Arabidopsis thaliana: one gene and its partners. The protein of the gene in region 1 interacts with the protein of each later gene in a pairwise test. Each region holds a gene or a part of one and is shown in the gene's direction. Other genes may lie near its edges.

Evidence for each region. The genes of interacting proteins can lie anywhere in the genome.
Region 2: the proteins of CNGC10 (region 1) and CAT9 interact in a protein complementation assay, tested with the Arabidopsis thaliana proteins (one large-scale study listed by BioGRID).
Region 3: the proteins of CNGC10 (region 1) and CAX5 interact in a protein complementation assay, tested with the Arabidopsis thaliana proteins (one large-scale study listed by BioGRID).

The regions. Positions count from the first base shown.
Region 1 is NC_003070.9:130,186-138,313, reverse strand, and holds CNGC10 (cyclic nucleotide gated channel 10), read left to right. Parts: upstream 1-2,389; 5' UTR 2,390-2,606; intron 2,607-2,991; exon of another isoform or gene 2,992-3,044; 5' UTR 3,045-3,097; coding exon 3,098-3,126; exon of another isoform or gene 3,127-3,195; coding exon of another isoform or gene 3,196-3,209; coding exon 3,210-3,732; intron 3,733-3,812; coding exon 3,813-4,025; intron 4,026-4,107; coding exon 4,108-4,403; intron 4,404-4,561; coding exon 4,562-4,673; intron 4,674-4,774; coding exon 4,775-5,011; intron 5,012-5,095; coding exon 5,096-5,490; intron 5,491-5,569; coding exon 5,570-5,900; 3' UTR 5,901-6,044; downstream 6,045-8,128. Other genes in the region: AT1G01350 (Zinc finger (CCCH-type/C3HC4-type RING finger) family protein), read right to left, coding at 344-466, 556-1,379, 1,498-1,582; AT1G01335 (auxin-responsive endogenous peptide protein), read right to left, coding at 7,456-7,578. UniProt on the Arabidopsis thaliana protein: Probable cyclic nucleotide-gated ion channel.
Region 2 is NC_003070.9:1,799,043-1,806,484, reverse strand, and holds CAT9 (cationic amino acid transporter 9), read left to right. Parts: upstream 1-2,484; 5' UTR 2,485-2,542; coding exon 2,543-2,792; exon of another isoform or gene 2,793-2,877; coding exon 2,878-3,287; intron 3,288-3,366; coding exon 3,367-3,543; intron 3,544-3,614; coding exon 3,615-3,839; intron 3,840-3,951; coding exon 3,952-4,128; intron 4,129-4,224; coding exon 4,225-4,461; coding exon of another isoform or gene 4,462-4,488; exon of another isoform or gene 4,489-4,810; coding exon 4,811-4,906; coding exon of another isoform or gene 4,907-4,924; exon of another isoform or gene 4,925-4,982; coding exon 4,983-5,120; 3' UTR 5,121-5,375; downstream 5,376-7,442. Other genes in the region: AT1G05950 (uncharacterized protein), read left to right, coding at 142-252, 368-521, 606-818, 901-1,116, 1,232-1,298, 1,379-1,533, 1,603-1,669, 1,761-1,912; AT1G05930 (B3 domain protein (DUF313)), read right to left, coding at 5,552-5,636, 6,196-7,067. UniProt on the Arabidopsis thaliana protein: Permease involved in the transport of the cationic amino acids.
Region 3 is NC_003070.9:20,828,964-20,837,273, reverse strand, and holds CAX5 (cation exchanger 5), read left to right. Parts: upstream 1-2,645; 5' UTR 2,646-2,948; intron 2,949-3,254; exon of another isoform or gene 3,255-3,270; 5' UTR 3,271-3,332; coding exon 3,333-3,377; intron 3,378-3,465; coding exon 3,466-3,711; intron 3,712-3,798; coding exon 3,799-3,866; intron 3,867-3,960; coding exon 3,961-3,989; intron 3,990-4,080; coding exon 4,081-4,277; intron 4,278-4,379; coding exon 4,380-4,592; intron 4,593-4,860; coding exon 4,861-4,995; intron 4,996-5,160; coding exon 5,161-5,277; intron 5,278-5,355; coding exon 5,356-5,409; intron 5,410-5,489; coding exon 5,490-5,606; intron 5,607-5,697; coding exon 5,698-5,791; intron 5,792-5,876; coding exon 5,877-5,887; 3' UTR 5,888-6,243; downstream 6,244-8,310. Other genes in the region: SIP1 (seed imbibition 1), read left to right, coding at 1-419, 511-652, 719-786, 883-1,017, 1,091-1,308, 1,388-1,767; CAX6 (vacuolar cation/proton exchanger), read left to right, coding at 6,679-6,768, 6,852-7,085, 7,175-7,242, 7,316-7,344, 7,421-7,617, 7,699-7,902, 8,024-8,158, 8,248-8,310. UniProt on the Arabidopsis thaliana protein: Vacuolar cation/proton exchanger (CAX). Translocates Ca(2+) and other metal ions into vacuoles using the proton gradient formed by H(+)-ATPase and H(+)-pyrophosphatase.

The DNA.
Region 1 (8,128 bases):
ACGGGCCCATTAGATTAAAAAGTTTGGTAAGGAACTTTACTTTTGGCCTGTTTATTAAACGACCGCGTTTTCAATTTGGGAAGCAAATTTCTATATCAAAATATGTGAATCAGGATATCGAGTTTGACGACTATTATTCTGACGATGATTTACTAGGAAGTTGACTCCAAAACTCTGATTCAATTTTCAGTTTGTTTAAATTTAAAAGTTAATCAGTTTGAAACAACTATCGTCGTCATCCGAATGAATATATATAGGCCAGTGAGTACAACAAAACAAAAAGCTTTCCTCAAGTAAATAACCAAATATAGTTTTTGCCTTTTTGTCCAGTGAAACAAGGACTTCACAATCCTTGTTCAGCTTTACTCCGTTCTTCAGCCATTCTCTTCTTGATCTCATGTGCTGCATTGAAAATCCCCATTGTTGGTTGGTTACACACAAAGCACTTCTTGTTCTTCGTGTGATGCTGCATCATTACATTAAACAAAACTCGCTAGTTTCACACATTTCTTCACAACTAAAAAAAAAACAGACTCGTAATTGTGATGATCATACCTTTAAAGCACAATGCTCACAGAAGTAATGCTTGCATTTGGTGACAACTGGATCAACAAAAGGCTCCCTGCAAATGAAGCAAGCAAAGGGCAATGCATTTTCGTCTTCGTCGCTATCCTTGTCAGCCTCATCATCTTCATCCTCAACTCCCATAGCTTTATTTCTCTTCCTAACTTTCTCTGCTTCTTCCCACTCTTTCTCTATCTGCCATCCTGGTTTGTAATCCCCACGGTCATGCAAGAACTTACACGAATCTCCATATCCACAGTATCCGGTTTCTTTGTAATCCTTGCAAATGTCTGGCTGGTAATCGAATCTAGCCGACACTCTTATGTGAGCAGAAGCTCTTAATGGCCCGTGTGAGCCTCCAGCTTTCTCGCTCGAGATTGTTTGTTCTCTTCTAAACCCAGCTTTGTGATCTGTATATCCATGAATTCCTTTGTACAGCTTCTCATCAGAAGCCTTTTTCTTATTCCCTTTCAATGCTTCGTCTGCTTTTTTAAGAACTCTCTCACGGATAGCTCGTGCGTCTTGATTGAAGTCGGTCTCAGTTTCAAGGGTTGCTGTTGCTCCACTGTCGTTCTGAACCTGGATTTCCTTGGATGAATCGTAGTGAAAGACGGACCTCTCAGGAGCTCCACTCGTTGTAGTAGAACTCTTAGATGGTCCAGAAGAAAAGTATAACTTGCTATCGGGTTTTGCAACTTTCTTTAGATTTTGTAGAATAGAGCTTTCGCTTTTCGAATCTCCGTCTTCTTCATCAGCGTCAATGGTTCTTTTTCTTATGTTTTTACTTTTCGTTGGCTTCTTGAAGAAAGTGCAAACTGAAACAGAAGAATGATTTGATTAGTGTAAATGAAAATTTCTAGCTAACAACGAAGAACAAGAAAAAATCTCAATGAGACGACAACTAGAATTGAGATAGAAGGAAGTATATGTAACCTTGTTGAGACTGAGTTTCTTGGGCAGCAGGTTGAGGTAGAGGTTCTTCTTGCTGAGAAGGTTTAGGCTCACCAGAATCTGACATAGTTAGATATAAGACTATGTAACAAACACAAATCACCCACTTGTAATTTGCTGCTTAGTGTTTCCCTGCAAAATTCAAGATTAGTATTAAGTCAATTTCCTGAAAACTTGTAAATTTGTTTGCACTGAGTCAAACAACAATTTTATCAAAATTTCTCCAGATTCAGTTACAATAATAGACAATGCAACATAAAAATGATCACCTGAATTCTTCCTAATTCATCTACGCGAGCTCACGAATAAACCCTAGCTAACTATCTATATCGGTGGCAATTTCATTCACAGTAGATAAGGAAGCAGAAATAGAAGCTCCAGACAGATCAATCCGAAACACAGTTCGACAACTCGATGTGTCAACGGAAGCTACAAAATTTGGAATCTAAAAACCCTTTGAATTGATTGAAATTGGAGACAAAAGCTCGAACAACACTAAAGACTAAACAAGAACGAAAAGTAGATCAAAAGTATGGAGATTAAACACAAGGAAGAATATGTTACCTTAAAAAAAAATCTAAAAATCGACGCCGGTGAGCTACACCGTCAAAAAGAACGACGACGCCGTCCGTATTTTCCGACAGAAAATAAATCAGTGTGAAGAGAAAAGAAATAAGGAACATATGGTGGGGCGGTTACTTCATTTTGGGTCATGAATCTAAATGGGCTCAATATTCATAATGGGCCCGGTACTTAAAATTTGGCAACTTGCTTATTCTCGCCGTCTGACTTTGACCAAGTCATTCATCTGAATGAAATTGTTTTATGAAATGATTTTCAATTGAACAGACTTTATAATATTTAATTGCATAATATTCCTCTTTCCCTCCCTTTTTGTCGTATAATAAAATTCTCATATACTACTTTTCCAGGAAACAATATACAGAGAGAGATACAAGTAACCGCCATATGAGTCTCTCTCTCTTTCCAGCGACGACGGGACCAGTTGCTTGAATTGAAGAAAACGCCGTTCACCGACTTCCGTTTATTAGCCGAATCTTACTATCTCGCCGTTACCTACTTCGTTTCAGGTTAGTTTGATGATAGAATTTTGATTCCGATTTCCGTTTTTGTTCTTTTTCGTCTGAATTTATTTTGCTGTTTCTCAGAACCGAAACGCTTAGATATATGTCTTTCGTTTATGGTCAATGGTTTTTTGAAATTTGGATTTCTTATCTTTGATGAACAGTGTTTTTAAGTTGTTCGTGTGGTTTCCATTTATTGAGCAGGAATGGGTAGGAATTACAGGATTTGGTATAATCTAATGTTAGGTGGAAATTGACTGATTCTAGGTTCTCTAATTAACCTTTTCAAGAAAGAAATATTTAAAAACACATACACACAACACAATTGTATTTGTAGTTAGGTGTCTACTTGCTTATTTTTAATTGGTATTGGGGATTATCATTGTACGTAATCATGTAGAAGAATTCGTATGTCTTAAGTTTTGGTTCTTATTATAATGTTAGGACTCGTCACCCTGTAAGCGAAAGATCAGTTGAAATATACAAGGGTTTGGCTGATGGCATTTAGCCATGATAATCGTGTAAGGTTGGTAGTTACAGAAAATCTTGAAAACAGTTCATAGTTGAATGATTTTTTCTACTATCTCATTTTCTTATGATTTTGTTTAGGTTCAAAGATGAAGGCAAACCATTATCCTCTGAATATGGTTATGGAAGAAAAGCTAGACCTTCTTTAGATAGAGTTTTCAAGAATGTAAAATGGGGATTCAAGAAGCCATTGAGTTTCCCTTCACATAAGGATCCTGACCACAAGGAAACATCTAGTGTTACTCGGAAGAACATCATAAACCCGCAGGATTCGTTTCTCCAGAACTGGAACAAAATATTTTTATTTGCTTGTGTGGTTGCTTTGGCGATTGATCCATTGTTTTTCTACATTCCCATTGTCGATAGCGCAAGGCACTGTCTTACTTTGGACTCAAAGTTGGAGATAGCTGCGAGTTTGCTTCGTACGCTCATCGATGCCTTTTACATTATTCACATTGTGTTTCAGTTCAGGACAGCTTACATCGCTCCTTCTTCGCGGGTTTTTGGAAGAGGTGAACTGGTAGATGATGCTAAGGCAATAGCCTTAAAGTATCTCTCTTCTTACTTCATCATTGATCTACTCTCTATCCTTCCTCTCCCACAGGTAAATGACTAGTTTGATTACTTGTTCAAAATGTCAATGATCATTTCTTTTTGAATCCTCTGGCTTCTTAACTTTTGCAGATAGTAGTTTTAGCCGTTATTCCAAGCGTCAACCAGCCAGTCTCTTTGCTAACAAAAGACTACCTTAAATTTTCCATAATTGCTCAATATGTTCCTCGGATTCTCCGTATGTATCCGCTTTACACTGAAGTGACAAGAACATCTGGCATTGTTACTGAAACAGCATGGGCTGGAGCTGCTTGGAACCTCTCTCTCTATATGTTAGCCAGTCATGTGAGTTTCGGATCTTTTGATGACTGAATCTTTATACATGTAAATGCATATTAAAGGTTATATGTTAAACTTACTTATTCAGGTGTTTGGAGCTTTATGGTACTTAATCTCAGTAGAACGAGAAGACAGATGCTGGCAAGAGGCATGCGAGAAGACAAAAGGTTGTAATATGAAATTCCTCTACTGTGAAAACGATCGTAACGTTAGCAACAATTTCCTGACCACTTCTTGCCCATTTCTCGACCCTGGTGATATAACAAACTCAACCATCTTCAACTTTGGCATCTTCACTGATGCTCTTAAGAGTGGCGTTGTTGAATCACATGATTTCTGGAAGAAATTCTTCTACTGCTTCTGGTGGGGTCTTCGAAATCTGAGGTTTGTAAGACACACATAAAACTGTTGACAATAACTAACTAGCTATATTTGGAGATTTTAAGCCGTGAAATGACCTGTTTATATTTGCATCTTAAGCATATATATCTGTCACAATTTAAACAAGTCATCATTCTCACAAGTTGCTTTTGTTGTTGCAGTGCATTGGGACAGAATCTCCAAACTAGCAAATTCGTTGGTGAAATCATATTTGCTATATCAATCTGCATATCTGGACTAGTCTTATTTGCTCTACTTATCGGCAATATGCAGGTATTAGCCTCAAATAATCGCTTCTCATTTTCTGGACTTGTTCCATAATGCTACATATAAGTTACTCAGGACACGCATGTAATTTTTGTTTGCTGTTGCAGAAATATTTGGAGTCAACAACAGTTCGAGAAGAGGAAATGAGGGTGAGAAAGAGAGATGCAGAGCAGTGGATGTCTCATAGAATGTTACCTGAAGACCTGAGGAAACGTATCAGAAGATATGAACAATATAGATGGCAAGAGACAAGAGGAGTTGAAGAAGAAACCCTTCTTCGTAACCTCCCTAAAGACCTCAGAAGAGATATTAAACGCCATCTTTGCCTCGATCTCCTCAAGAAAGTGAGTAACAAGCTTTCTCTCTTTTTCTTCCATAAACTGAACTAAAGAACCCTCAGAATCCAAATTATATGATGTTTATGGTAGGTACCTTTGTTTGAGATAATGGATGAGCAGTTACTTGACGCGGTTTGCGATAGGCTAAGACCTGTGCTCTACACCGAGAACAGTTACGTGATCCGTGAAGGAGATCCTGTTGGGGAAATGTTGTTTGTTATGAGAGGAAGACTGGTAAGTGCCACCACTAATGGAGGAAGAAGTGGGTTCTTCAATGCCGTGAACCTAAAGGCAAGTGATTTCTGCGGAGAAGATCTTCTCCCGTGGGCATTAGATCCTCAATCTTCTTCTCACTTTCCCATCTCGACAAGAACAGTTCAAGCTCTCACTGAAGTCGAAGCCTTTGCTCTCACAGCTGAGGATCTCAAGTCTGTCGCTTCACAATTCAGACGCCTCCATAGCAAGCAACTCCAACATACTTTTCGGTTCGGTCACTCCCATCAGCTTCTTTGGCTCTGTTTTCGGTTTTGGATCTTCTTAACCGGATCTTGATTATATATACAGGTTTTACTCAGTGCAATGGAGAACATGGAGCGTGTCTTTTATACAAGCAGCGTGGAGGAGATACTGTCGGAGGAAGTTAGCCAAGTCACTACGCGATGAAGAAGATCGTCTCCGAGAAGCGCTCGCTAGTCAAGATAAAGAACACAATGCTGCAACCGTGTCGTCGTCCTTGAGCCTTGGAGGCGCTCTTTACGCGTCGCGTTTCGCATCAAACGCGCTTCACAATCTGAGGCACAATATCTCCAACCTTCCTCCTCGCTACACTCTTCCTTTGCTACCTCAAAAACCCACCGAGCCTGACTTCACCGCCAATCATACAACTGACCCTTAGATCTCTCTTGCATGTGTATAGTGTGTGGAATAAAGTGTAAAAACAATGGTTTGAACTTTGAACCAATAAAATGTAAAAAATTGTTTATCAACTAACAGAAATTGAAATAATGGCTGGCTCTTATGCGCCGCTTAACTTTGGCTACTTCAGTTCAGCATCACACATGGAGGTATAGTTAGAGACTCGATCTGATGATCAATGCATTGAGGAAAGTGGGAAAAGCATATTTAGCTTTCAAGCTAATGCATAGCAAAACTGGGGTTGGTTATGAGAGAATGGCTAGTGTTAGAAGGTCTGTCAGGTTTAGGACTTTACTTAAACTTGTTTTGACTCCCGAGTTTAAAGAAACTTTTTTGCGTTTATGTCTTTTCTTGAAGAAGGAAACAATCGAAAGTTTCCTTTTTATTTTGGAAGAACCTAATAATGAAAACCTGAGGGAGAATGCTAATCTCCAACAACATCTCACTCATTCTCTCTTCTTCCTTGAGAAATCAAAGCAAACCAACCAATGTTTCCTTTTGGTTTTGTTCGGTATAATATCAACGTCTCTTTCGTATGTCGGTTTTCAGTGTTTCCTTTTTTTAAGTCCCGCTCCTGTATAAAGCAGACCAACATATTGAGCTTGCGTTTATATATACTACAAGTAACCCTAGAGTACTTTCATCTCTTTTTTATCAACAACCACCTGAGAGAATGCTAATCCCCAAATTCATCTCTTCTTCCGTAAGATTGATCGGAGTGGAAGATAATGTTAAACCTTATCACTCTTCATGATCGTAAGATTAACCTGTTTTCGGAAAAATCTATTAATCCATTTCATTGTTCATTTTTATGGTCAACCAAATTATAATCTAGTTTCATGCTAAAATTTCGTATAGAGATTATCATTTCTAAAGAATGAAAGTTACATAATATTCAACATATGAATAATATATTTACAAAAATTTACGAGTGAAACGATAAATACATTACTTCGGAAAGGAAAAAAGAATTACAGAATGTATGGACAAATTGGCCATTTCGTTTGGTTACTTGTGGAATAGGATAACGGGAGGAGGCAGCTTTACGTGGTCCATCTAGCACCGTCTGATTGCAGTCAGGTTAAGAAAGTGTGCGGCTCCGATTCGTTGGAATACCCATTTTACGTGGGACCCATTTAAGACAAATGGTCCCGCATCTTTGTTTCTTCTTTCCACTTGTGACCCCTGCCATTGCCAACATTACTGGACGACAAAATCGCCTGCTCTCATTTTCTTCATACATAAAAAAAACCTTTATTTATTTTATTATGATAAAATTTGATTTTGCTTACAAAAACGTGTATGTTAAGAGTCCTTAATGTTCATTGTGATTAAAAAAAATTAATGATCAAAGAACGTGTGATTGTTTGAACTAATTATAGCTTGCTTTTATATGGAAACATACAAAAATATCTGGACCAACAAGCTCGTGCTTCAAACAAAATACACATTTTTGAGCCATATAATACCTAATAACGTGATTTCTTAGACTCTTTTAACTGGGCAGTTAAGTTACCATTTCTGCATTTACTTTTTTAAAAAACTGGTTCTGACGCAGAGAGCATGAATTTGTGATAGAAGTAGAAAGGGGCACAAATAGAATAATCCAAAAAGCAGCGAACAACAAGCCTATAAATAAGACAATCACTTAGGCCCATTAACGACTTTAGAGGCCCTAAAAGGTAAGAAATCAAGGTGAAACAAGGAAGGAAATTTCGATCAAGACAAAAATACGAAAACACCCATGTAAAGAGAAGATAATTACAGGAAACTGCCATGAACGTCCATAAAAAGCCATTCTAGCCATCTGACTATTGAATCTCCGCCCTTCCTTCCTTATCACTCTCTCAAACCTTTTTTTTAACACACTCTCTGTGTCTCTCTCTCACACCGTTTCTCCAGTTTCAGCTTTTCTTCGAACCACTAAACAAACTCTCTTATAAACTCTTTCTCATCCCTTATTCTCTTTTTAGAATTTTCATATATTTTTCTTCTGTTAGCTCCCGCTATTCCTCTCACTCGGTAATTATTGAAAAAAATTTGAATATCTGTTTTCCAAGTTCGTGTTATATATATGTTTCAGTAAACCATTTTGTTTTGGATAAGATTTTGAACGTTTATATCGTATACTTTAGTTTTAGTTTTATGGGTTCTTTATGAGGTTTGAGTCCTACAAAATTATACATTTGAATGCATATTTGACAATGA
Region 2 (7,442 bases), 1.7 Mb from region 1:
TGGTTATTCAGCTGTTATCCTTAAACTCACTTTACTTTACATTAGTTGCATGATTGGATCATTCTTTACTTTTTGTAAGTACAAGGAGGTATTGACATGATATTCCTAACCATCTTCTTTTGCTTTTCTCTATGAAAATAGTATGCAGGGTCCTTTATTTGAGAAGAGCTTTTCCGACTGGACTATGAATTCTATAGTGGAATACTTTCATGTTCTTCCATATGCCACTCTCATAGAAGATTGGTTTTCCAGGTTTAATTGCATCCTTTTTTTCTTCCTAAATTGTTATTCCTTAACATTACTTTGAGTTTGTTTGGTATCATTTCTAGTTTAGGGGTAGCAATATAAGTTTATTGTGCTTTTTCAGGCGAGGAGATACCGAATTTGTGATAGAGAAAGAACCAGAAGCTGTATGTGATGATATCGAAAGCAACAAAGTAGATGCAACCAAGGAGTCGGAAGTTTCCGACATTTTTGAAAGACGAGAAAAAGCTGCTTTAAAAAGGAGATATGAAATTAAAGTATGCTCTCATAATGATACTTGTATTGTATGGTTGTGTTAAGGAAAATGGTATTACAAATTAACTTAAGAATTTAAATTGCAGGCCAAAAAAGTTGCCGCTCTACTGAGCCATCCTGGAGCTAGAGGAAAAGCTACGACGAGGTTGCAAAATCGGTACTTAAAAGGAAGTATGAGTGGTGCGAAGGAACCTAATGTTCACTCGGAGACAGTAGTTGCGTTGAAGGCTAAGAATGTAGGTAATGAAATGAGCCCTTGTAAGGATAACTATTCGAATGGAGAGAAAGGTGGTTTCGAGGTGAAATCTGAAATCTACACTAACAATTATATATTCTCAATTCAATCTTCAAGTATCCTTTATCACCCTTTTGTAAATGCAGGTTGCGTCTGACCCAAAGGAACTTAAAGAAAGAGGTCTCCAGAGGAAGAAAGCTGTTCCTGACAGACTTAATAGCATTCATAAGCTTAATTCAACTCCTGCTTCTGCTCATAACTCTAATCCAAATCTTGAGGAGCTACAGACGTCTCTTCTTTCTAAAGCAACATCACTATCCGAAACTGCATTGAAAGTTCTTCTTTGCAAACGAGATAAACTGGTAATAACTGTAGAATTTGATCAAAGATACACAACACAGCAAAAAAACTGATTGGCAATAGCATATATATCCTTATTTTATGATTAAGAGCTGCTCTCTTTTTCTCTGGCTGCAGACTCGTCAACAGAGGAACATAGAAGACGAGATTGCTAAATGTGATAAATGCATCCAGAACATCAAAGGTATGTATATATACATATACTTTTCCTTTCTGCACAGCTTTGTTTTTACATGAATCTTAGTGATCTCGTGGGTGTTATAGGTGATTGGGAGCTGCAATTAGAAACAGTACTCGAGTGCTGTAACGAGACATACCCGAGGCGTAACCTTCAAGAATCTCTTGACAAGTCAGCATGCCAAAGCAACAAGAGGCTGAAGCTCAGTGAAACTCTTCCTTCTACTAAAAGTCTGTGTCAGGTTAGTTTATGGTTACTTTAATCATTTCTTGTTCAAAGAATTAAGATTCATTGCCCCTATTTATTGCAGAGACTCGATGATATCTGTCTCATGAATAACTGGGTACTACCAAACTATCGTGTGGCTCCATCAGATGGTAAAGTTTTGAGATCATTTGCCAAACTCGTAGTTCAGCTCCATTACTCCCTTCAGATTTGCATGTTGATGTTGATGCTTTGTTCAAAAAGGTGGATATGAAGCTGAAGTAAGAATCACGGGGAATCATGTCGCATGTACAATACATGGAGAGGAAAAGTCTGATGCTGAGGAAGCTAGGGAATCTGCGGCAGCTTGCTTGCTAACAAAGTTACAACACGACACAGCAGCCAACTTATCATGATTATGTGAGATTCAAGAACAACTCAGAAACCAAACTAACTTCCAGCATGAGTAGAAAACAACCCTGATTTTGATATGTATGGCCATTTTGGACGAATAGCAAGATTTGTACAAAACTCCATCCTCTGGTTGAGATTTTGAGATATATTACAAGAAGTCAAAGGTATTAACTGATGCAGAAACTAAAGTAGAACCAGAATCATGTTAAAAACCTAATCCTAAGCCTCCTGCATTTAAAACAATCCTAGAAACTCAAAAACCCAACAAAGTGCTAAAGAGGGATGAAAGAAATCCTAGTAAAAAAAAACCCTAATATTGTTAACTAGACCAAAAACCTCAACAATGGCCTGAAAGATTAGACCAATATGAATCTCAACAGACACAAGAAACTTGTCAACAACGAAAATAGGAGCTATACTGTCTCATGGCAAAACAGAGGACTCCATCGCACCTAAAGGCCCAAAGACAGATGTCGTCGCGAGCTTTCAGTTCATTAGAGGGTTATTGGGTTTAAGTGGTCTCTGTTGGGCCCAATGGTTGGCCCAATATTTATTGATTTGGATTCTGATTATCCCGGGGGTGATTTCAGTCATCGTCTCGATCAATCTTCAACTCTCAAATTGAAGTTTCCATGGGAGGCCACGAAGGTTTCAGCAACCAACGCCTCTCCTCCGCCACATGGTTCTCTCATTTCCGTGCTTCAGCTCTCCGATCTAAATCACTGCCCCCTCCGTCCTCGCAGACTGCCGTTCGCTCCACCTCTGGCGACTCTCTGGTTCGTCGCCTCGGCCTTTTCGACCTCATACTGTTGGGCGTCGGCGCTTCCATCGGCGCCGGTGTCTTCGTCGTCACCGGAACCGTCGCTCGCGATGCTGGACCTGGTCAGTTGAATGAATTACTTTTTCTCACCACCTCCTTGATTCGTTCAGAATCGCTTAGTGATTATTGCTGCCGTTGCGTGCCTAGGAGTCACAATCAGCTTCTTGCTAGCTGGAGCATCGTGTGTGTTGAACGCTCTCTGTTATGCTGAACTTTCATCTCGTTTCCCTGCTGTTGTTGGTGGAGCTTACATGTACTCTTACTCAGCTTTCAATGAGATCACAGCTTTTCTTGTTTTCGTTCAACTCATGCTTGACTATCATATTGGCGCCGCTAGTATCTCCCGTAGCTTGGCCAGCTATGCTGTTGCTCTTCTTGAGCTTTTTCCAGCCCTCAAGGGCTCTATTCCTCTCTGGATGGGAAGCGGCAAAGAGCTCTTGGGAGGGCTTCTCTCTTTGAATATTTTGGCTCCCATTTTACTTGCTCTCTTGACCCTTGTTCTATGCCAAGGTGTGCGAGAATCTTCCGCTGTCAACTCCGTTATGACTGCTACTAAGGTAAGCTTCTTTCCTTTTAACCTTCTCTTCTTATCTTTACCAAAAAAAACTCTTCTTCACTATATTGTTTCTTCTGTAGGTCGTGATCGTTCTCGTTGTGATTTGTGCCGGTGCTTTTGAAATTGATGTAGCAAATTGGTCTCCTTTTGCGCCTAATGGTTTTAAAGCAGTTCTCACTGGAGCTACTGTTGTCTTCTTTTCATATGTTGGATTTGATGCAGTTGCTAATTCTGCTGAAGAATCGAAGAACCCTCAGGTCTGCCTATATATATGTTGAATGTACATACTATCTACAAAGTCTCTTATGTCTGTTTAATTCTTGTTCAGCGCGATTTGCCAATCGGAATTATGGGGAGCCTTCTGGTTTGTATCTCGCTGTATATTGGCGTATGTTTGGTGCTCACCGGGATGGTCCCTTTTAGCCTCCTCAGCGAAGATGCTCCTTTAGCTGAAGCCTTTTCATCAAAGGGTATGAAGTTCGTCTCAATCTTAATCAGTATTGGTGCTGTTGCTGGACTCACAACTACTCTGCTTGTTGGTCTTTATGTTCAGGTGATAATATATATATATGTATTTCTTTTGTAATTTCTTTTATTATGTACTTGTATATTATGCAAACCAAGGTAACACTCTTGAGTAATCATATGATATTTCGGATAAACAGTCCAGGTTATATCTGGGACTTGGAAGGGATGGTCTATTGCCTTCAATCTTTTCCAGAATACACCCAACTCTTCATACACCTCTTCATTCTCAAATCTGGTGCGGCATTGTAGCTGGCGTTTTAGCTGGCATATTTAATGTACATAGTCTTTCCCATATTCTGTCTGTTGGTACATTGGTACGTCAAGGTCTTAATTTTAAATATCTCTTTGCTTTTCTTATTGATACTTATACTTTCCAGTTTAACATTATTTTCGGTGTTCCATTTCTTCAGACTGGGTATTCAGTTGTTGCGGCTTGTGTTGTGGCATTGAGACTGAATGATAAAAAAGATAGAGAGTCGTCCAATAGATGGACATCAAGTTGGCAGGAAGGCGTCATTTGCCTTGTTATAATTGCATGCAGTGGTTTTGGTGCTGGCGTATTTTACCGTTTCAGTGCTTCAGTTATATTTATTCTCCTCTCAGTTGGTGTGGCAGTTGTTGCTTCAGCAGTTCTTCATTATCGCCAAGTAAGTAGCCTTAAGTATAAGCCTTAATTCCATAGCACACTCTTCTTAATTTCATAGCGCCAAAAAAAATAAAATAAAAAAACCAAGTTTCACCCCTGTTAAAATGCTAGATACTAAGTCTTTTACTGATACAGCATAAAATAGAGACCACCACTAGCATGTTCTGGCACTTAGAACTCTACAGTGATACTATGAAAGTCTGTGACTATTGAAGTCTTTGCATTCTTGGTTTAGAGGAGAAGTTTGTTAACATCAATTAGGAAATATACCCTCATGGTTGTCTCCACAAATCAGGCAAATGCCTTGCTAGCTATGCTTCATGTTAAACCCCTCAGCTTTTCGCTTCCAGGCTTATGCTCTGCCTCTAGGTTCTGGGTTTAGCTGTCCTGGTGTACCCATTGTGCCATCCGTTTGCATTTTCTTCAACATCTTCTTATTTGCTCAGGTACACGCTAAGAACTAACTTTATACTAATTTCACATACCATATGATCTACCTTTGATTTTTCCGCTACTGTGCAGTTGCATTATGAAGCATGGATAAGATTTGTTGTTGTCAGTGTGCTTGCAACTGCCGTTTATGCCTTGTATGGGCAGTACCACGCAGATCCGAGCATGTTGGATTATCAGAGGGCACCTGAAACTGAAAGCGACGCTTAGTAATGCTACATTATAGTTGTGTTACTTAAAGCCATTTGTAGAGTTGATAGCAAGTTTCTGCGTTTCGTGAGAGACATACTGTATGTCACATACATATTCAGGTCGAGTTTAAGGATTGGATGGGATAAGGCAGTTAAACATTATTGTTGTAAAGAAGTTAATAAAAGTATGCTTGTGCATTTCAACTAAAGCCTTGAATGACTGAAAATGGCTTTTGTGCTACCAAATAATCCCAGAAGCTAGCAATGTTCACATAAACATACTCAATGTTAGAGTTATTCAACGGATCATAGTATAGAATCAGAAACAACAAGCTTACTAATAACAGACATCCAAACCCTCTAGCATTGTAGTAAGACCAAAACCCTCTAGAATTGCCCCAACTTAGCCGGCTGTACAAATGAAGATCAATCTCCACAGAGACAAGAAGCTTAGCAGAGACGGCGAGCATTGGAAGAGCTACTCTGTCTCAATGTAAGAGGAGGAACAAGAGCAAAACAGAGGATTCCACGCCACCTGAAAGACCAAAGACTGATGTCTTTCTGATTTACCCCTCTCGGTGACACCACACGCCTCTTGGGGCTCGTGGTCTCCCGTTAGACACAAAGATGGAGTCTTCTTGGACTCGGCAATGTAGTTTTGAAGAAGGTTAAAGAAAAAGGCGATGAAGAAGAAGTGGAAGCCCCATTAAGATTTTGTTGTGAATGAAAACTGAAAAGAGTGACTTTGTTGTTTTATATAGTTCGTTAATCCGTTCTGATTTACTTCGTTTTCCTCTTATAATAACTCTAAAGGTATAATCTTTTCTTTTTCTTTTCTTGAAAGCATTATTTAGAGAGTGTATTGTATTAAGCATGAAACAGAGACTGTGCTAAGCCTCCTGCATTTTAAACAATCCTAGAAACTCAAAAACCCGACAAAGTGTTAAAAGAGAGATGAAAGAAATCCTAGTAAAAAATAAAAACCCTAATTTTGTTAACTAGACCAAAAACCTCAAGAATGGCCTGAAAGATTAGACCAATGTGAATCTCAACAGACACAAGAAACTTGTCAATGACGAAAATAGGAGCTATACTGCCTCATGGCAAAACAGAGGACTCCATCGCACCTAAACGCCCAAAGACAGATGTCGTCGCCAGCTTTCAATTTATTAGCCTTAACAACGTCGTTCCAGCCACAACTCAGAAAGTAATTCTGGCCCCATCTCTTCAAAATCACACTCCACTTTTGAGACCTTTGATCCACGAGAATGGCTCCAACTCCCATCGTCTCATCATTGTAGGTATCTTCTTCTAGGATACTCCGCTCCTCAGGCTTCAAGAAGTCGTTACTGATTAATCTGTTGAAATGCATTGAGAAACGGCCATGTGTCGTTGTGATCACATCAGTTGTGGACAGAGTCTTCTCTAAGATAAGTGTTAGGTCTTCTGCTCTCATGTCTTTCATCACCTGGCGAAGCCACCACCGCATCTCCCTGGCCGTCCTTGAATAACAAGTTACCACTGGTCTGTTGAATCCACAGCGATGTAACACCTCAAGCATCCTAGGGTGTGTGTACTCCGTTAAGAACGAAGAAGGAGACCATTGGTGATAAGGGTTAGGTGGGTTTATGGTCTCCGTCTTCTTGTAGTACTCAGCCATGTAGTAGTCTTCTTCGAAGGGTAAGTTTAAAGAAGAAGAAGCCCCATTAGGGTTTTCAAAGTTAGGTTGTGGGTATCTAAGCGCAGGCCTTATCTTTCTGGGGACATGACTGAAGAATTCCCTCTTCTCGCTCTCTTCCTCGTATTTTTCTTTCTTTTTGATAAAGACGTGGTCTTCTTCTTTACAGACAATCTTGGCTTTTCCTTTTCTTGCGCGTTGTTCTTCATCACTCAACGTAGCCGCCAATTCATAGTTCATGGACATCGTGTTTCTCTCAGCCGCGTGATCATCGTCGTTTGTCGTCATTGTGATCTGAACCCTTACTCGAGAAGCTTGAGGAAGAAGGACTTTTGAGAGAGAAAGAGAATGAGAATGAGTGTTATTAAATAGTTAAAATCAGTTCTGGAATGGTAACATTCCTTTTTTACCTTTCAGCAAATAGGTTAATTACTGTGATTAATCATTAATTATGACCCACTTGCCTTCTTTTTACATCATTGTATTTGGAGATTGTGTGTATTATGCATTGAATGGAAATCTATGAGCGATGGCAAAAATGTATAATCGTCCATTTTTTATTTTTTTTATAATCTTGATAGTTTTTACCTTTATATAATTTTAAGCGAAAATCAGGAATCAGTGCAGTGAATTTGCCTAATGAATGGACTTTGGATTCATGGG
Region 3 (8,310 bases), about 21 Mb from region 1:
TCGCTCAAGTATGTTTATGTTTGGCATGCGATAACAGGATATTGGGGAGGAGTCAAACCAGGTGTTTCTGGTATGGAACACTACGAATCCAAGGTTGCGTATCCAGTTTCTTCACCAGGAGTTATGTCCAGTGAGAATTGTGGATGTTTAGAAAGCATAACTAAGAATGGACTTGGTTTGGTGAATCCTGAGAAAGTCTTTAGCTTCTATAATGATCTTCACTCATACCTTGCATCCGTTGGGGTCGATGGTGTCAAAGTAGACGTCCAAAACATTCTTGAAACTCTTGGAGCTGGACATGGTGGTCGTGTCAAACTTGCAAAGAAGTATCACCAGGCTTTGGAAGCTTCTATTTCAAGAAACTTCCCTGACAATGGTATTATCTCTTGCATGAGTCATAACACAGATGGTCTCTACAGGTTAGCTTCTGGACCTACAACGTTGTTCTCATTGATATTTATCCATAATTATTACTATCCCTTCTAATTTCTTCTTGTAATGATACTTTAGCGCAAAAAAGACTGCTGTTATAAGAGCATCAGACGATTTCTGGCCTAGAGACCCCGCTTCACACACGATCCACATTGCTTCTGTTGCATATAACACACTTTTCCTTGGAGAGTTTATGCAGCCGGACTGGGACATGTTTCATGTACGTTGAATTGCTTTAACAAACTTTTCTGAACTTGTGAATGAATCTATCTGTTTCTCATTGCAGAGTTTGCATCCGATGGCTGAATATCATGCTGCAGCTCGCGCGGTTGGAGGATGTGCCATATATGTCAGGTAATCACAAGATTCAATACCATTTGACAAACAAATTATCATAGTAAAATGAGCTGCAAGTAAGTAACTCTAGATCCATTCAAACTTGTTAAACAGCGACAAACCGGGACAACATGACTTCAACCTTTTAAGAAAGCTAGTACTTCGAGACGGTTCCATACTCAGAGCAAAGCTTCCCGGAAGACCAACCAGTGATTGCTTCTTCAGTGATCCAGTCAGAGACAATAAAAGGTATCTCGTTTTCCTTTACTTGGAAGAGAAGAAAGCTTAAATCTTAACTAACTGTTGTATTATACTTTGCAAGTCTTCTGAAAATATGGAACCTGAACGAATTCACTGGCGTTATTGGAGTTTTCAACTGCCAAGGCGCTGGATGGTGTAAGAACGAGAAGAGATACCTAATCCATGACCAAGAACCTGGGACCATTTCTGGTTGTGTCCGAACCAATGATGTTCATTATCTTCATAAAGTAGCAGCCTTTGAATGGACAGGAGATTCCATTGTCTATTCCCATCTCAGAGGTAGTACACAAACTCAAACATCAGTCTAAATTACTCTGATTATACTAAAACCTTCACTTTTTTTTTCCTTTTCTATCAGGAGAGTTAGTGTATCTCCCAAAAGATACATCTTTACCAGTGACATTGATGCCACGTGAATACGAAGTTTTCACGGTGGTTCCGGTGAAGGAATTTTCCGATGGAAGTAAATTTGCACCGGTGGGGCTTATGGAGATGTTTAATTCTGGAGGAGCCATTGTGAGTTTAAGATACGATGACGAGGGGACTAAATTTGTCGTTAGGATGAAACTTCGAGGCAGTGGTTTGGTTGGTGTTTACTCGTCCGTTCGACGACCACGAAGTGTTACGGTGGATTCAGACGACGTGGAGTACCGGTATGAACCGGAATCCGGTTTAGTTACGTTTACTTTAGGAGTTCCGGAGAAAGAATTGTATCTGTGGGACGTGGTCATCCAATAATTATTGATCTGTATAATTGTATCAGTTCTGTATTGATTTGTTGGTTAATCTGTATGGGTTATCGACCAGACCAATACAAATCAAACAGATTGGTCCGTGTTCGTTTTGATATAATAATACAAAAAAAAAATGTTTGTTGTATGGCTTAGCATGCATTAGTGTAATCATTTTCTTCCTTCTTATTTATCATCAACGGTGTAAAATCTGTAAAATGTTATGGTGCAAATTTAGTTGTCCACAAGAGAACAACCAGACGACTATGTAATCATATCTGTAGATAGTAGTAGACTAGTAGATCCGTGCATTTTTAGCAATACTTCCACTAATAAAACTCGCAAATTAAAGCATTCTTAATTACTCTGAAAATGACTTCTACACACACCCTAAATGTTTTTATAGAAAATTTGGTTTTGGTCTAATTATTTTGATTTGGTTCGGTCTAGTAATTGATCAGTTTATGATATTTTTTGAAAGGATTTTTTTTTTTTTTTGGTCGTCTTTTGAAAGGAAAATTTTAAGAAATTATAAACGATTTATTTAAGTCCAGAAACGAAAGGGATCGAATCAATGATAAAAAAATTGCCTTAACAAAAAAGTTTTAAAAAAATTGGGATTACTTGATGCGGTCGATAGTTAATTTATTCTGGACTATGGTAACACGTCATGTTTAGGACCACTATGTTTTAACTAAAAACTGATATTAAAATAAAATTTATCGACCGCAATTGCTCTTTTTTTTCTCCTATATTTAAATCTTCACAGTAATTCACAGTTCACATATATTTCAATATTCATTAGTCATAACATTAGAAAGTAACAATATTGAGTCCAAATATTTTTTAAAAATCGGAAATTAGATAAAGTTCCAATAGTCTTTTTTCTTTTCTAAGTCTAAATAAATTCAATTAACTAGTTTCATAAATTATTTGAAAGAAGAAAATAAAAAATCGAAACATGTCTTTAAAAATGAGTAGAAGAAGGAAAGTTCCTCTCGATCACGCACTTGTTTACTGACATCTCCCAAATTCTTTAGTATCATCTCTCAATAAAAAAGAACAGACCATTGGGATCACAAATCTCCGAAGAAGAAGAAGAAGATATCAAAGTGTTTATTTTTGTGGGATTTCTGCTGCAACTTGTTCAAGTCTTTCTTCTCTGACCATTGGTTGACTTCTTCTTAGGTACTAAAACTTTCGAATCTCTCTTCACCGTTTCGTTGATCCCTCCGATCATCTTTAGGTCTTCTATTTGATTCTTGGTAGTTTATATCTGGTTTTAGGGTTTTGATATTGGATGGAATTGGGTTTGTGTTTTTCAAATATCAAGTCATTTGATTGGGCTCTGATTTCATGGAAAGATTAAGCTTAGATTAACACATTTTCAGTTGAATCGTGCAAGCTTGTTCTGGATTCTTGTTTTCACATTTGGTTGTGGTTTATATACTGTATAACGGAATGCTCTTTGATACTGATGATTGATCTCCTAAGCATTTCCAATCTCCAGGTTTCCAGAAGAAGACGATATTGTAGTGTATCCTCGTTTTCATGTTTTCTTAGCACAAGTCTATGGGTTGTTGTAAAGTGCCAGCTCTTATTCAGGCCCAGGTAGAAGTAAGTTTGTTCATGATCGATCATGTATTATCTTTGATTATATGGCTCTTCATTGTCAGCTTAATGGAAAGATTACAACTTTGAACAGATGGGGTTGGTTAATGATGTTGAGCACAAAAGCCTTTTTAGACGAGATACTGATTCCCCAGAAAGAAAAGCAGCTTCCTTGATGGAACAAGGATCACTTTCTGCAAGTTTTCGAGAATGCTCAACTAAAACACCTAATAACAGTGTGCTCCAGAGCTTCAAGATTGTGATTTTATCGAATAAACTTAATCTTTTGTTGCCTTTTGGTCCTCTGGCAATACTACTCCATTACTTGACAGATAATAAGGTGAGCAGTTGTACTTTTTGGGTACTATTCATAGCAGTTTCATTTCTTCCTGTTATTTCCCAAGAAATGATTCTTCTTGTGGCTCAGGGATGGATCTTCTTATTGAGCTTAGTAGGCATCACACCATTAGCTGAACGTCTCGGATATGCCACCGAGTAAGCTGTTGCTCGCACTTGTAACTCTATAAGTTACAATGTTATCATTCTATCAGCAAGGCTTATCTATAAGTAACCGTTTATTTTGTGACAGGCAATTAGCTTGTTACACTGGTTCAACTGGTATGACTTGGTTTCTTCTGATCGCCATTCTATTGCGGGTTTACTTTGTTTTCTCCTGATATCTTTTTGACGCTGTTTACAAATTTAACAGTTGGAGGTCTCCTAAACGCTACATTTGGAAACGTGACAGAGCTGATCATATCGATTTTCGCTCTTAAAAGTGGAATGATACGTGTTGTACAGCTGACATTGCTCGGCTCGATACTTTCTAACATGTTACTTGTACTTGGCTGCGCCTTCTTTTGTGGCGGGCTTGTATTTTCCCAGAAAGAGCAAGTCTTTGACAAAGTAGGAATATCATCACTTGTTCTCTTCTTTTTTTCAATGTAATTGTCCCTGTTGTTCTGTAATTTATACCATGTTTCTGAGCTTATTTATTCTGCAATGCAGGGTAATGCTGTTGTGAATTCGGGATTGCTTTTGATGGCTGTCATGGGACTACTCTTCCCCGCAGTTCTTCATTACACGCACAGTGAGGTTCATGCTGGGTCATCAGAGCTTGCTCTCTCAAGATTCAGCAGTTGCATAATGCTCGTTGCCTATGCTGCTTACCTCTTTTTCCAGTTAAAGAGCCAGCCGAGCTCTTATACCCCTCTCACCGAGGTTTGTTGTCTTTGACCTTCGGTTGACTTTCGTTTTTTCTTACAAAAAGCCTGGAAACGATAGACTAAGATAATTATAAATAGAACAATTGTTTCAACATTTGTTTTTTTTCATTTTCGAGTTTTCACCAGTATATCCATGACCACAGAATATTCGTGCCAGTTTTACGGGGTCTGTCGAATTTCTGTTTTATAAAGCCGAGTGGTTGCTATCTTTCTCTTCTAATTGGACTGATCTCAGCTGTTTGGTAAACATTGTTAATTTGTAGGAAACTAACCAGAACGAAGAAACTTCAGACGATGATGAAGATCCTGAGATCTCCAAGTGGGAAGCTATTATCTGGCTTTCAATCTTGACGGCTTGGGTCTCTCTTCTTTCCGGCTATCTTGTTGATGCCATAGAGGTGAATAGCAACCTGCTTTTTTTTCTATCTTAGTATTTCGAACAAAGATCTTACGTGTATTAACTTGGCCTGTTTATTCATTTCCATATGATCAGGACAACATTGTAATGCTAGTTTATGAGTTTGACTTATGGTTTTGTATTATTGTTTTTCAATCTGTAATAGGGTGCTTCAGTCTCATGGAAGATACCAATCTCTTTTATCAGTGTCATCTTACTTCCTATAGTTGGGAATGCGGCCGAGCATGCAGGTGCCATCATGTTTGCCATGAAAGACAAGCTGGTACACAGACAAGTCTCTTGCGTTTTGATGTCTTTGATTCTCTTCTTTAGGTTCTAACTTTATTATTCTCCTCTACAGGATCTGTCTTTGGGAGTGGCTATTGGATCCTCCATTCAGATTTCTATGTTCGCGGTATGTATATGAAATGTGAACTTGGGTCTAGTACTGAACATTCTCTAAAAGATTTTGTCTGATAGTTTGATTGGATTTAGGTTCCTTTTTGCGTGGTTATCGGATGGATGATGGGTGCCCAAATGGACCTAAATTTCCAGCTATTTGAGACGGCTACTCTGTTCATAACTGTTATTGTTGTAGCTTTCTTTCTCCAGGTAAATCTTGAAGCTAATTACGAAACCAATCTCGAGTATATCTCTCTCTTCAAAGTTGTTAAATGTCTTTGTGTGTGGTGTTTTTATGCAGGAAGGAACATCGAATTACTTCAAAGGATTGATGCTCATTCTTTGCTATTTGATAGTCGCCGCTAGTTTCTTTGTACACGAAGATCCTCATCAAGGTTAGTGTTGAATTTGCTATATATATTCCTTTCTCTGTGTCAACTCTCTGTTGAAACCTGTTTTTGTCTTCTTATTTTTTGACAGATGATATATAAATCAACCCAAAAGAACATAAAAAGTTTGTATCCTAAAACTAAAGCCTGAAGATCTCAGGAACACATCATCTTACATGTACATTTGAGATTCTAGAGTTTGTTTCATAACATTTGAAAGTAGCTCCATTTTACGGTTTTACCTTCCCTTAGGGGCTTATAGGGTTACAAATTTGTAAAATTACCTTGATAACTATGATGGGAAGATTCAAGATTGGAGTGTCTCTTCTTTTCTAAGTATGCTTGTTTATCCTCTAATATATAGAGGATTTTCTTTGAACAGTTTATGGACGGTTGTATTCATACATTTAATGGTAAAAAACAAGATGACACTAGTTATAGTTAAGTCTTACTCAAAACAATATTGTGAGCCATATTTGGCATAAGATTGCAGAATTTCTTCTGCAAATATTTATCATAGTTCGTAAGAAGATGAGTTCCAGATGGATTTGTTGAAAATGTGGATCAACAAAAGCAGCATTGAGTCGACATTCGGCAACCTTAAGCTGCAAAACAAGTTTGAGCTTCAAGGTATGGAATCGTGCTTCAGTGTCATACCTTTAAGGAACAAAGAAACTAAAGAAATGGAAACCTTTTAATACTTCAATACTGGAGTTCCATAAACAATTCAAAGACCATCTGTTGTAACTTCTCCCCCAAGCAACGAGTGAGTGGATGCTTATTGTGCTTGTAATCATGTGTCACATGCCATACACTCTTAAGGAATAGTTAAGGTTAACAAGGACTAGACTTTCTAAGAACTCGATATACAGATCAATGAGATCACAAATCTCATGTATATGGAGCTATATTTGATGTTCAGCAACTTCTTCAAGTCTATAAGGTGGTGTAAGGTGCCAGCTTTTATGCAGGCGAAGGTAGAAGTAAGTTAGTCCACGTTCACGTCTTGTCTCAGTTATTTGGCTCCTCATTATCAGCTTAAGAACTAAATTATTATCGTAAACAGATGGGGCTTGTTAATGAAGTTGAGCTTAAAAGCCTTTTGGAACAAGAAACAGATTCCCCACAAACAAATGCAGCTTCTTTGATGGAGCAAGGATCACTTCGAGAACGCAGAGCTAAAGCGCCTAGGAACAGTGTGGTCCAGAGCTTCAAGATCGTCATTTTATCGAATAAACTAAATCTTTTGTTGCCTTTCGGTCCTCTAGCAATACTAGTCCACTACTTGACAGATAATAAGGTGAGAGCAGTTGTAGTCTCAGGTACTTATCATAATTAGTTTTGTTTCTTCTTGTTTAGTCTCAAGAAACGATTCTTGTTGTGGCTCAGGGGTGGTTCTTCTTACTAAGCTTAGTAGGTATCACACCATTAGCTGAACGTCTCGGATATGCCACAGAGTAAGTTGTTCCTCACACTTGTGACTCTTTAATTACCATATCATCAAACACTAACCGTTTAGTTTTGTAACAGGCAATTGTCTTGCTACACAGGCGCAACTGGTATGACTTGGTTTCTTCCGTTACTCTCTTTTTTTTTCTCCTAATATATTTGTGACGCGCTAGACAATTTTGACAGTTGGAGGTCTCCTCAATGCTACATTTGGAAACGTGATTGAGCTGATCATATCGATTATCGCTCTTAAAAATGGAATGATACGCGTTGTACAGTTGACGCTGCTTGGCTCGATTCTTTCTAACATTTTGCTTGTACTTGGCTGCGCTTTTTTCTGTGGCGGCCTTGTGTTTCCCGGGAAAGATCAAGTCTTTGACAAAGTTTGCATATCATTCTTTCTTTTCTTTTTTCTGTTTAGTTCAATTCTTCTTGTTTCTTATCTTATTTCTTCTACCATACAGAGGAATGCAGTTGTGAGTTCGGGCATGCTTTTAATGGCAGTCATGGGACTACTCTTCCCCACATTTCTTCATTACACGCACAGCGAGGTTCATGCTGGATCATCAGAGCTTGCTCTGTCGAGATTTATCAGTTGTATAATGCTCGTTGCCTATGCAGCTTATCTCTTTTTCCAGTTAAAGAGCCAGCCAAGTTTTTATACCGAGGTTCCTTGTCTTTTAAGTTAACTACATATATAAAATTGTTTCTTACAAGTTACAACCACTTTCATCATCTAAATGATTCTTGCCAGTTCTACTTAAAACTTATCTCTGCTGTAAATTATAGAAAACTAACCAGAACGAAGAAACTTCAAACGATGATGAAGATCCTGAGATCTCCAAGTGGGAAGCTATCATCTGGCTTTCAATCTTTACGGCTTGGGTCTCTCTTCTTTCGGGCTATCTTGTCGATGCCATAGAGGTAACTAAAGACCCTGTATTTCATTCTTAAGAAGATCTTATATTATTACGTTGTCATCTTGTGTTATGTTGTTTTTGAATCTGTAATAGGGTACTTCGGTCTCATGGAAGATACCAATCTCTTTTATCAGTGTCATCTTGCTTCCTATAGTT